3 linked regions of the Sus scrofa genome follow. The protein of the gene in region 1 purifies or fractionates together with the protein of each later gene. This does not show direct contact. Links are inferred from orthologs where the notes say so. Each region holds a gene or a part of one and is shown in the gene's direction. Other genes may lie near its edges. The genes, in order: IKBKB, RIPK1 and CASP8.

Region 1 (3,747 bases):
AGGAAGCAGGTCAGGCTGACCCCAGAAGGGCTGGGTGAGGAAATCCCCATCTACCCGGTCCCAGGAACCGCTCAGGTCCAAGCTGTACTTCTAAAGGAAACTCCCGCCTTTTACGATGGGTTTTAGGGCTGGTCCCCAGCCGGGCGGGCGGAGCGGGGGCGGGGATGGGCGTGGCCTGGGCCGCGCGCCACGTGCTCCGTGACGTCAGAGCAGGAAGTGTTTGAGGAAGTGGCGCTCAGCGGGTGGGTTGGAGGTTCCCGCACTTCAATGTCTTTGGGGTGGCGCCCCCACCCGCGCCCCCGCCCGCGTCCCGCCGCCAGGTGAGTCCCTCGGGCGGGCGGCCGGTGTCACCTGCCGGGCGAGTTAGCACCCCATCTCTCCGAGGCCCCCGGAGATGTTCTCGTGGGGCCTGAGTCGGCGAGTTCCTGTTGGGGGTGGGAGCTGAAGGCCCCCCGAGCCCGGCCCTGGCGGGGTGGCGCCGGGTGGTGGCAGCGAGGTGGGAGCCCGGGCCGGGGCCGTGATTCGTCCACGCCGCGGTGACGCAAGACCGCGGGGAGCTGAAGGGGAGGCGTCCCAGCCACCAGGGCAGGGCGCCCGGCCGGGGTCCGGCTTGGGATCCCCTTTCAGGTCTTGTAGTTTGAGGGCCTCTCCTCCCTTCTGCTTCCATGCAGCTTGAGGGGGGGCGGGAGGTTGGGGGTGGGGGGGAAGACAGGAGTTTCCTACTAAAACCAAAACCAAACGGCCTGGTTTATTTACAAGATAAAAACCAGTTCCGATTTTTCTCTTTCACATGGAAGGACCATGGTATCTCTTACTTTGTCCATGCCCTTGAGTTCCATTTTTTTCTTAACCATCACTTTTTGTCCCCCGCCCCGAATTGCTTACAGAGTTAGCAGGACATCAGTATGAGCTGGTCACCTTCCCTGACAACCCAAACATGTGGGGCCTGGGAAATGAAAGAACGGCTTGGGACAGGGGGATTTGGGAACGTCATCCGATGGCACAATCAGGTAGGCCCTGTGCTGCTGGGAAGAGCCGGGGTGGCAGGTTTGGGGGGTTGTGGGGGCAGACTTCTGCTCCCTGCCTCTGCTCCTTGGGAATGGGGCTTGCCTTGGCCATGGACTTCATGAGAGAAGGAGCCTGGGCAGGGGGCGTCAAGGGCTCCTGACCTGACTCTAGGTTCAGGATCTCCAAGCTTTATTGACTATGCCACCTAAATAAATAGTTAAAAAAATAAAGCAAAGTAAATTTTCAAAGTTCCTCTTGTGGCTCAGTGGTAACGAACCAGCCTAGTATCTATGAGGACTCAGGTTTGATCCCTGGCCTTGCCCAGGGGGTTAAGGATTCCACATTGCTGTGAGCTGTAGTGCAGGTTGCAGATGTGCTCGGATCCTGAGTTGCTGTGGCTGTGTCCAGTAGCTGCAGCTCCAATTGAACCCCTAGCACGGAACTTCCATATGCTGCAGGTGCAGCCCTAAAAAAAAGTAAGCTTTCAGCTTCAATTCTATGTATTTAAAATTACGTAGCTATGCTAACATTAAACTATCACCTACTAATATACACAATATATATATCACATTATGAAAGCTACCAAAATATAGAAAGATCTAAAGGGTGAAAATAATAAAACATTTCTAAATGTTTATTATTTATGTTTTAAAAATTAATTTGAGGAGTTCCTGCTGTGGTGCAACAGTTTTGGCGGTGTTTTGGGAGCGCTAGGATGCAGGTTCAATGCCAGGCCTGGGACAGTGGGTTAAGGCTTTGGCATTGCTGCAGCTGCAGCTTAGTTTGCAACTACAGCTCAGATCTGATCACTGGTCGGGGAACTCCGTGTGCCACAGAGCGGCCAAAAAAGAAAAAAAATTAATTTGAAAAATATTTTAAATATCTACCAATTATGGTGTCTTCCCAGTGTTGTTTGCCATACTTCAACATGAATTATATGGATACACACAAAAGTGAGAATTATTGCTAAGGATGATGGATGAACATCTTCATTTCAAATAGTTCTTACAATTTTAAATCATTTGGACCGATTTTCTTTAGTCTGGGAGATCCTCACTGGGTTTTGGTTTGTTTGGTTTGTTTGTTTTGGTTGCACCTGCGGCATATAGAAGTTCCTGGGCCAAGGACTGAATCTGAGCCGAGGCCGTGGCAACACTGGCTCCTTTAACCCACTGCCCCAGCTGGTGTCTCTGCAGCGACTTAACCCACTGCACCACAGTGGGAACTCCAGAGCCTCACTGATTTTATTCCTTATGTGTCTGCCGTGAGTTTCTCACACCACAGTGTTAATTATTCCATATTCCCATTCACTTTGGTGTTATATGCACTGACATTCTCCACAGGGATCTCCAAGCTGCTCATCCATCTTATGAGTTATGTTATTAAAATTGCATAACATCAGAGTTCCCGTCATGGCTCAGTGGTTAACGAATCCAACTAGGAACCATGAGGTTGCGGGTTCGATCCCTGGCCTTGCTCAGTGGGTTAAGGATCTGGCATTGCCGTGAGCTGTGATTGCAGACTCGGCTCGGATCCCCCGTTGCTGTGGCTCTGGCGTAGGCTGGCGGCTACAGCTCTGATTTGACCCCTAGCCTGGAAACCTCCATATGCCACAGGAGCAGCCCAAGAAATGGCAAAAAGACCAAAAAAAAAAAAAAATTGCATAATATCATTTATAAATCTACCTCAGTGGGGCACACAGAACCTGCCCCATGTCCCCGCATGCCTCTGTCCACCCCTTGCCCATGGAATGCCCTTTTTCATTGGGGTACCTCGAGTGTCAGAGGAGACAGGTGATCCGAGGAGGGTGCTGTACACTTAGTATCAGGAAGACTTAATTTCCTCTGAATTTTTTTGGATTCCAGTATTGTATATTGGCTCGAAGGTAGCCATCACCCACCAAATAGCTAAAATTAGCTTCTTGACTCCAAGTTCAGAACCCCAAAGCCCCTGAGGGAGGGCGCCTTCTTTTTAAACAAGGTCGGCAAGCACATCTCTGGACTGAAGAGATGGCAGGTTTCCTACCACAGGGAGGGTCATTCAGGCCACTGGGCAGCCACGGTGGGGCGGCGGCGGGGGGGGGGGGCATTTCAGACCACCCTCTCTATCAGTTGGAAGACATTTGAGGCCCTGCACTGTATCCTGTCAGCTCTGAGCAGATGGAACAGTCCCTGGAGGAATGTGGGGGCCAGAGCTGGAGGGCAGAGGTCAGGTGGGCAGGCAGTAATTCTCACACTCGCCTGGGAAACTCTGACCCCAGCAAACCCTGTGGTTGGCTGGGCAACCAGAGGCCTAGCTCACCACAGGAGAGCCAGATCCTTCCACTGCCCCACACAGACCTGGGCTGGGCTGCTTGCACACAGGCTGGGGCTTTTAGAGTCTTGACTACAGCAAAGGTCTCACTACAGCTGGACTAGATACATCTTGGCTTCCTTCAAAAAAATTTCTATCAAGGGAGTTCTGGTAGTGGCTCAGTGGGTTACAAACATGACTAGTATCCATGAGGATGCAGGTTTAATCCCTGGCCTCACTCAGTGGGTTAAGGATCTGCATTGCTGTGAGCTGTGGTGTAGGTCGCAGACGTGGCTCACATCCCAAGTTGCTGTGGCTGTGACATAGGCTGGCAGCTGCAGCTCTGGCTCAGCCCCTAGCTTGGGAACTTCTATGTGCCGCAGGTACAGACCTAAAAAGCAAAAAAAAAAAAAAAAAAAAAAAAAAAAAAAAAAAAACCAAAAAAAA
Region 2 (3,747 bases), on another chromosome or scaffold:
TAAACTATAGCCCTCCTAACTTCCTCTGTCCCCATAAAAGTGTCCTCCTCTCCATTTTTGCTGGGGCTTTGCACACAGCTTCCTACAGTTGCAGACCCTGAAATGCAATCCTTTGTGGATCATGAATAAACCTTTTTTTTGAGAAATAGTTGGCAGTCTATTTTAAGTCAATAGGATGTACTGGTATCTCATTGCTGTTTAAAATCACAGTTTCTGGAGTTCTCTCGTGGCACAGCAGGTTAAGAGCCCAGCATTGTGACTGCAGTGGCTCAGGTTGCTTTAATGACATGGGGTCTATCCCAGGCCCAGGAACTTCCACATGCTGCTTGAGTGCAGCCAAAATAAATAAATGAATAAGAAGAAATTCATAATTTCCTAGTGACTTCTAATATTGACCATCTTTTCACATGCCATCTATATGGTAAAGTGACTGTTCAGATCTTTTGCCCATTTTCTTACTGCGATGTTCCTTTTCTTAGGTTTTTACTTCATTTTGGGTAATACTGTTTTAATATATGTGCTTTTTCTTAGTTTGTGGCATCTCATTCTCTTGATGTATGTACCGTTTTACAGTATGTTATCACGCTGTGTATAAGCTTTTTAACGTAACACTAGAGCAAGTATTTCCCATTTTGCTTGAGACTTCCCAATTATCATTGCAAAAGACTGCAAAATAAATACCTTGCTCTTCTACTCTAAAATCCAGAGTAGATTTTATTATCCTCGCTGTACAGGTGAGGGAGATGAGAGCATGATAATTGCCTATAGTTCCAGCGCCGCTGACCCGCGGAGCTGAGAACTCCCCTGGGGCTGCATGCCCCACCTGGGAGGTTTCTAAGAGTGGTTTCTAAGACTCCGCGCACTTCCTCTCCGGGCCTCCGGACTCGCTCTGAAACGCAGCAAAGCCGCGACATCTGGCTGGGCGCACTCCAGGTTCCGAAAGCTGTCCAGGAGGCCCGGCCGGCGGCGGGGCGGGCGCTCGGCTCGCCCTCCTCCGGGGCAGGGGCAGGGGCAGAAGGCGGAGCGAGCAGTCCACGCCCTCCTCCGGCCGAGCTCACTCAGTCGGCGCGCAGGCGACGGGGACACCGGATCGGCTTTCTGGAGCGCCGGTCCCGGCGGGCCCACTCCGCGAGGGCCGGAGCGCGCCGACCCACGGGGCAGCAGGCGGCGGACGGCGGGCTCGCGCAGCCGGGGGCGGGGAGCGCGGGGCCGCCCCGCCGGTGTCGCAGCCGACGGCTCAGCCCGCGGCGACCCTCGTCAGGCTCCGCGCCGGCGACGCTGCCGGGCGTCGGGGCAATCCTGGACTGCCCCCGCCGCCTCGTCCTCCACCCGGCCCCGGCCCCCGCCTCGGCCTCGGGAAGCTGCCCGCGGAAGCGAAAGCGAATCCTTCGGTGGGTCTGCGCTGGGAACCCGGACCGCGGTCAGGTTCCCCGAACGGCTTCCGCCCAGGGCGGGGCTCCCGCTTCCGGCGCGCGGGCGGCGGGCGGGCGACCGCGTTCCGGACGGACGGGGCGGCGGGCCGGTCAGGTGGTGAGCGTGGCCGTCGGCGTTCCCGGAAGTCAGGCTGTGGGCGTGGCCCGCGACCTCGTTCCGGGCGGCGGGGTTCTCCGCGGGTCGGACCAGGGACGCGGGTCCGGCGACGGGTGCTGGGCGCGGCCCGCGGCGCTCCCGGGGTCTGGCGGTGGGCGTGGCCCAGGCCTTCCCGGAAGTCGGCCGGCGGTCCGCGCGGGGTGGGCGTGGCCCAGGCGTTCCCGGAAGTCGGGCGCGGGCCGGTTACCTGGCCGCAGCGCGGCGGCTCCCCGCTGGCGGGTGGTTTCGGTCTGGCGGTCCGAGGGCGGAGCCCTGCCTCCCCTGTGATGTTGGAACCAACCGACGCCGTTCCCGCTGTCGAGCTGGTGGGGGAGGTGGGGTTTCACGGCGGTGTCATTGAGCCCGGCCTCCTTACCGCCCTTCGGAAGGACCTTCGCCTGGGGCCTGGGGCCGCCGCGGCTCGCGGGACGGGGGCGTTTCCGCGTAGCCTCGGCCGGGAGCCGGCAAGTGGGAGAGAAGGGTCCACAGCGACGAAGGGGCAGGATGTCGTAACCCCAGGAGGCCTCGTCCGTGGCCAGTGGCGTTTGCTCTTACCAAGCGCTCCACGACCTCGTCGGAGTTTTTGAAGAGGGCGAGCTAAGTTCTTCTTCCCTGAGCCGTGGACAAAACCCCGCCGGAGGCGTGGTGGTTGGTTGTCTCGGCCTGTTGCTGATCGTTTGGCAGCTCCTTGCTCAGAGCTCTTGTGTATCTTGGACAAAGCCTGAAGCCTTTGCACTCAACCAACTTTGCCGAAGTTCTTCGGTCTTTAGACCACTGTTCTTACCCCAAGTTTTACACTCGGAGAAATCAAGGCAGGAGTGAACTTGGCCCTGTAGAGTGACTTCGTGCTTGATCTGCATTTTGTAACCATCAGGTAGGTGCAAAAGAAAGGGAGACAGTCGTGGTCAGTTATACGTGCGGGGAAGGGCAGCTCTTCCAGACAGTAAAGGTGAAGACTGAGTTCGTTCAAAATAAAATGATGGGGTACAGCGGCAGCGTCATTAGTTATCACTGACGAGGCAGCAGTAACGCTTTTAACTTGTCTCCATTTTCCTCTGCGGCACGTTGTACTTGGAGGATTGGGGACATCCGGGAGAGTGAAGAAAAAGTCCCTAAACATCGAGTTCGGAAATCGCCAATTTCCGATTGGGGCTTATTAATCCGCGACACTGTTGATACGGCCAGTGTGATCGGGGAATTTGAAAAAACACAAAGCTTCCCACGCTCTGGTTGGATGTTATTCTCCGGCAAAAATGATCGTGTTATAACCTGCAGAAAGCTGATCTGGAACCACACACTTTGATGTGTGTGTTTCTCAGGGGTGAGCAAGTTTGTGAGATGAGGTTCTTGCACGTGATTTTAACAAAGGTTATGGTTTGCTCCCTAGAGAAGAAGCATGTATGTGTTAGCGGAAGTTTGAGTGGAGAGAGGAAAGACTCTGCCGTGTTAGAGGCATCATTCAACTCCAGGAGTTACTGCCTTTACCGTTAGGCCGCAGTGTCCTAAGGTACCTGGGGAGGCTGGCTGGAACGCTTCCTGTCATTCTGTCTTACTTATCATTGGGATGTTCCTTGCTCGGAGCTCTTGTTTATCTGGGGCAAAGCCTCAAGGGGTTATAAGCAAAGAACCCTTGGACACTTGAGTCAAATCAGAGTACTGTCAGCAGGGAAAGGAGGGCAGCGATGGGCAGCATTTTCCGTCAGACTCATTACCTACGGTCATCATTGTAAAATGGAGAAAATACTCCTTCCCACTTAAAGGTGACTATGAGTATTTGGAGTCGCTTTTTAAAATGTTTACATAGAAAAGTGCACAGGGCCTAACTGCTCTCTTGCGCATCGCAGAGGGAACCTGACCAAGTAAGACACTGCTGCCCGCAATCCCTCGAACCTCGTGTCAGTTAGAGCCTCCTGGTCCCCCCCGCCCCCGCCCCCCGGGAGCCACTCTCCCGACTGTTAGGGTCATAGATCAGTTTTGTTGGCGTTTTGGTGTTATTATTTATTATTAACAATTCACATGTCCCCCCAGCTTTACTGAGGTATAGTGAGAAACAAAATGGAATATAGCTATAAATATTTTGATACCTAGACCTGTCGTGCCTTTGAAGGTCATTAGTGAAGTTTCAGTTAACTTCAGTGGAAAAGATTGCTTTCCTGAGTCCCTGAATTAAATACACTT
Region 3 (3,647 bases), on another chromosome or scaffold:
AATAAATAAAAGCCAATATGGTTCCATCCAGTTTTCCAACTTTATATCTCCTCCCTCTAGACCTTGCTTGATATGTTTATAGAGATGGAGAAGAGGGCCATCCTAGGGGAAAGAAATTTGGAGACTCTGAAAAGAATCTGTGAACAAATCAACAAGGCCCTGCTGAAGAAAATCTGTGATTATGAAGAATTAAACAAAGGTAAAAATAACCTGACGGTGGAGTTCCTGTTGTGGCTCAGTAGGTTAGGAACCTGACTAGTATCCATGAGGATGCGGGTTCAATCCCTGGCCTCACTCAGTGTGTTAAGGATCTGGCATTCCTGCAAGCTGCAGCATAGATCACAGATACAGCTCGGATCTGGCGTAGTTGTGGCTGTGACGTAGGCCGGCAGCTGCAGCTCTACAGTTCCGAGCGTGGGCACTTCCGTACACTGGCGGTGCAGCCCTTAAAAGAAGAAAAAAAAAAAAAAAACCTAAGAGCTGTGAATCAGCAAATGGTAGTCATAAATTGATTGAGCCCTCTATGTCACAGCTGTTTCAAATCAAATGTTTGTTTGTTTGTTTGCTTTTAAACTTCAGATCGAAGAATGAGCCTTGAAAGTGCTTCGGATGAATTTTCAAATGGTAATGCTTGGAGATGTTTTCCAGGTTTCTTTAGTTTAATTTACCCCCTGAGAGCTTCATAGACCCAAGAGACCTGCTCTGCTAATAGCAGTGGCTACGTTGACACTTTCTCTGCAGGTTGGTAGATGTCGAAGCTGTCAAAAGACAGAGGCCCTGCAGCCCCAAGTTTGAAATGAGGGCAGTTGGTCAGTGATAAGATTTTCACTTACTCTGTGGACTGCATGGATATTATATTTAAGGCGGTTTGTGAATTCTCACTTTCAAAATGAAACGGACAGCACTAACGGCTGGAACCTAGCCAGACCACAGACTGGGACTTGAACCCATATGCCAGGACTTGAACCTGGCCTAAACCCAGATGGAGACTTGAACCCACGTTTTTAAATGAGCACTCACCTGATGTCTGGACTTGTGGAGGTTCAGGGTCTTTATGCCTCCTCGCAGAAGGAATTCAGCGAGAGACAAAGGGATAGGCAAGAAATAGATTGATTAGGACGGAACGCTTGTGAGAGATGCAAGCAGGCGGGCAAGAGGGTCTTCCCGGAGGATTAGGTAGGCTACAGTTTTATCATCCAAGGGGAGTGGGGGTTGGAAAAGCCCACCTCTTCCTTTTGGGGAGTAGCAGCTCCTCCTTGGTATCCTGTAAGGTGTGTATTCAAATCAGCAGAAGGGCGGTCCTCAAATTCCTGTCTTGGTCTGAATCTGAACGAAGGTCTCCTTCCATCCCCCACCCAATGACCTGAGGCAATTCTGAACTTCCTTCCACGAGCCGAGCAAGCCTGCCTTGCTCTGATGGCTTTTTTGAGCAATTTATTAACTCTCGGTGATCTCCCAGTGTCCCCTAGATTTCCCTCTCTATCTATGATTCTTTATTGGGACTTCTATAACTACCCGTGTCTACTCCATCCCTATCAAAAGGGACCTTACGTTGTCCCGAGTGCCATGTCCCTCCTTACCAAAGGAACTTCCCTGCCGTGTCTCTTTCCAGATATGTCTCAACTGGTGATCCAGGAGGGGTCCCTGGGAGAGCTGGCCATGTCGGACTGTCTGGGAGAACAGGACAGTGATTCAGAGGTATCTTCCCGTCGCCTTTTCCCTTTGCGCTGCAGATACTATTTATCGGATTCCTGAGCATTTTTAGCTTCCAGATAAAACTGAACAGCTCTTTGGTTTCCTGTGTATTAAGTTTCTATTTCTATTGGAATAGTTGGAGGACAGAGGGGTAGGGAGCCTCTAACCTCGTCTTTCGGCAGCTGCATCAGCCTCAAGGGCAGAGAGCTTTGGGGGGAAAGATGAGCAGGATTGGAAAAAAGTTGTCTTTTTTTTTTTTTTTTTTTTTTTTTTTTTTTTTTTTAGCTTGGCATTTAAAAACTGATTCTCCTTCGTGATTAGGTGTAAGCAGCAAAATGCTCATGATCCAAGTGTCTCTATGTTCTCATCCGGGTGAGCTGGCCCAAGAATTGCCTTTCCAGATATAATCACTTCTGTTTCTACAGCCTTCAACAATTGACCGCATCCTGACTCACCAGTCCATTCACTTCTCTCTGTGGCGGGAAGCAGAGGAAACCCTATATGCTAGAAGTCTAGTGGGAGACTTTTTTTTTTCTTTCTTTCTTTTTTTTTTTTTTTGCCTTTTTGCCTTTTCTAGGGCCACTCCCTTGGCATATGAAAGTTCCAGGCTAGGGACCCAATCGGAGCTGTAGCCAACCTACGCTGAAGCCACAGCAACACGGGATCCGAGCCGAGTCTGCGACCTACACCACAGCTCACGGCAACGCTGGATCCTTAACCCACTGAGCAAGGCCAGGGATCGAACCTGCAATCTCATGGTTCCTAGTTGGATTCGTTGACCACTGAGCCACGATGGGAACTCCCTGTAGTGGGAGACTTCTAATTAAGCTTGAGAGAGACCATTTATTTATTTATTTATTTATTTTTTTGTCTTTTTTGTTGTTGTTGTTGTTGTTGTTGTTGCTATTTCTTGGGCCGATTCCACGGCATATGGAGGTTCCCAGGCTAGGGGTTGAATCGGACCACCGGCCTACGCCAGAGCCACAGCAACGCGGGATCCGAGCCGCGTCTGCGACCTACACCACAGCTCACAGCAACGCCGGATCGTTAACCCACTGAGCAAGGGCAGGGACCGAACCCGCAACCTCATGGTTCCTGGTCGGATTCGTTAACCACTGCGCCACGACGGGAACTCCGAGAGAGACCATTTATTAGCGGGCTCCTGAGCAAATTACCAGACCTCTCTCAGTCTGAACATCAAGAATTAACCAAAGTCACGCGGCACTTGGTGAACAGTGAAGCACTCTGCAAGCGTCTTGCCCATCCATCAGCTAATGCTACCGAGTGCAAGAGAGATCATGTAACTTGTCCAAAGTCTTAAGGTTATTAAATAGTAGAGCCAGGAATTTGGCCCCCTAGCCTGGGGCCCTTTTCTCTGCCTCCAGAAACTGCACGGATTTCCCAATAAATGTTAACTACCTTAGTTTAGCACTGAAACAGCCCTGGAAAAGTTAGGAGGTCACCGCCTCTCCTCTGACTGATACTGTCAAGTGCTGGAGTCTAGATACTATAACCTGTAGCACAGCCAAGACCTGCGACTGGCACATCTCTATCCTCCTGTCCCTGTGATCCTCAGAAGTGGATTAAGCCGTCAGCTTTAAAAATCCTGGGGCCATGTTGTGTGACGGGCAGGCCCTCAGCTGTTAGCCCAGAAACCTGGATGAGTTGAGCAGAGAGCCAGGGGGATCACAAGGTCACAAAGTGGCAGCTCAGAGACAGCATGAGGACACCCATATGTCCAGCAACTCCTGCCCAATTAGAAATATATCCTAGTCCCTGGCATAGATGTCCTCTGCTTTGAGAAGAAAGGAGAATGAATAATACCAACACGGGAGTTCCTGTTGTGGCTCAGTGGGTTAAGAACCCAACATTGTATCCGTGAGGATTCGGGTTTGACCCCTGGCTTTGTTCAGTGGGTTAAGGATCTGGCGTTGCAGCAAGCTGTGGTCGTA

Evidence for each region.
Region 2: the proteins of IKBKB (region 1) and RIPK1 fractionate together in Homo sapiens (co-fractionation; 3 studies listed by BioGRID, with this or other methods). This does not show direct contact. The link is inferred for Sus scrofa from reciprocal best matches to the Homo sapiens genes IKBKB and RIPK1.
Region 3: the proteins of IKBKB (region 1) and CASP8 purify together in Homo sapiens (affinity purification with western blotting; 3 studies listed by BioGRID and IntAct, with this or other methods). This does not show direct contact. The link is inferred for Sus scrofa from reciprocal best matches to the Homo sapiens genes IKBKB and CASP8.

What each region holds. Positions count from the first base shown.
Region 1 is NC_010459.5:11,289,429-11,293,175, forward strand, and holds the start of IKBKB (inhibitor of nuclear factor kappa-B kinase subunit beta), read left to right. Parts: upstream 1-905; coding exon 906-1,010; intron 1,011-3,747.
Region 2 is NC_010449.5:1,840,104-1,843,850, forward strand, and holds the start of RIPK1 (receptor-interacting serine/threonine-protein kinase 1), read left to right. Parts: upstream 1-1,039; 5' UTR 1,040-2,443; intron 2,444-2,956; 5' UTR 2,957-3,076; intron 3,077-3,747. UniProt on the Homo sapiens protein: Serine-threonine kinase which is a key regulator of TNF-mediated apoptosis, necroptosis and inflammatory pathways.
Region 3 is NC_010457.5:104,936,346-104,939,992, forward strand, and holds part of CASP8 (caspase-8), read left to right. Parts: intron 1-60; coding exon 61-199; intron 200-579; coding exon 580-624; intron 625-1,612; coding exon 1,613-1,698; intron 1,699-3,647. UniProt on the Homo sapiens protein: Thiol protease that plays a key role in programmed cell death by acting as a molecular switch for apoptosis, necroptosis and pyroptosis, and is required to prevent tissue damage during embryonic development and adulthood.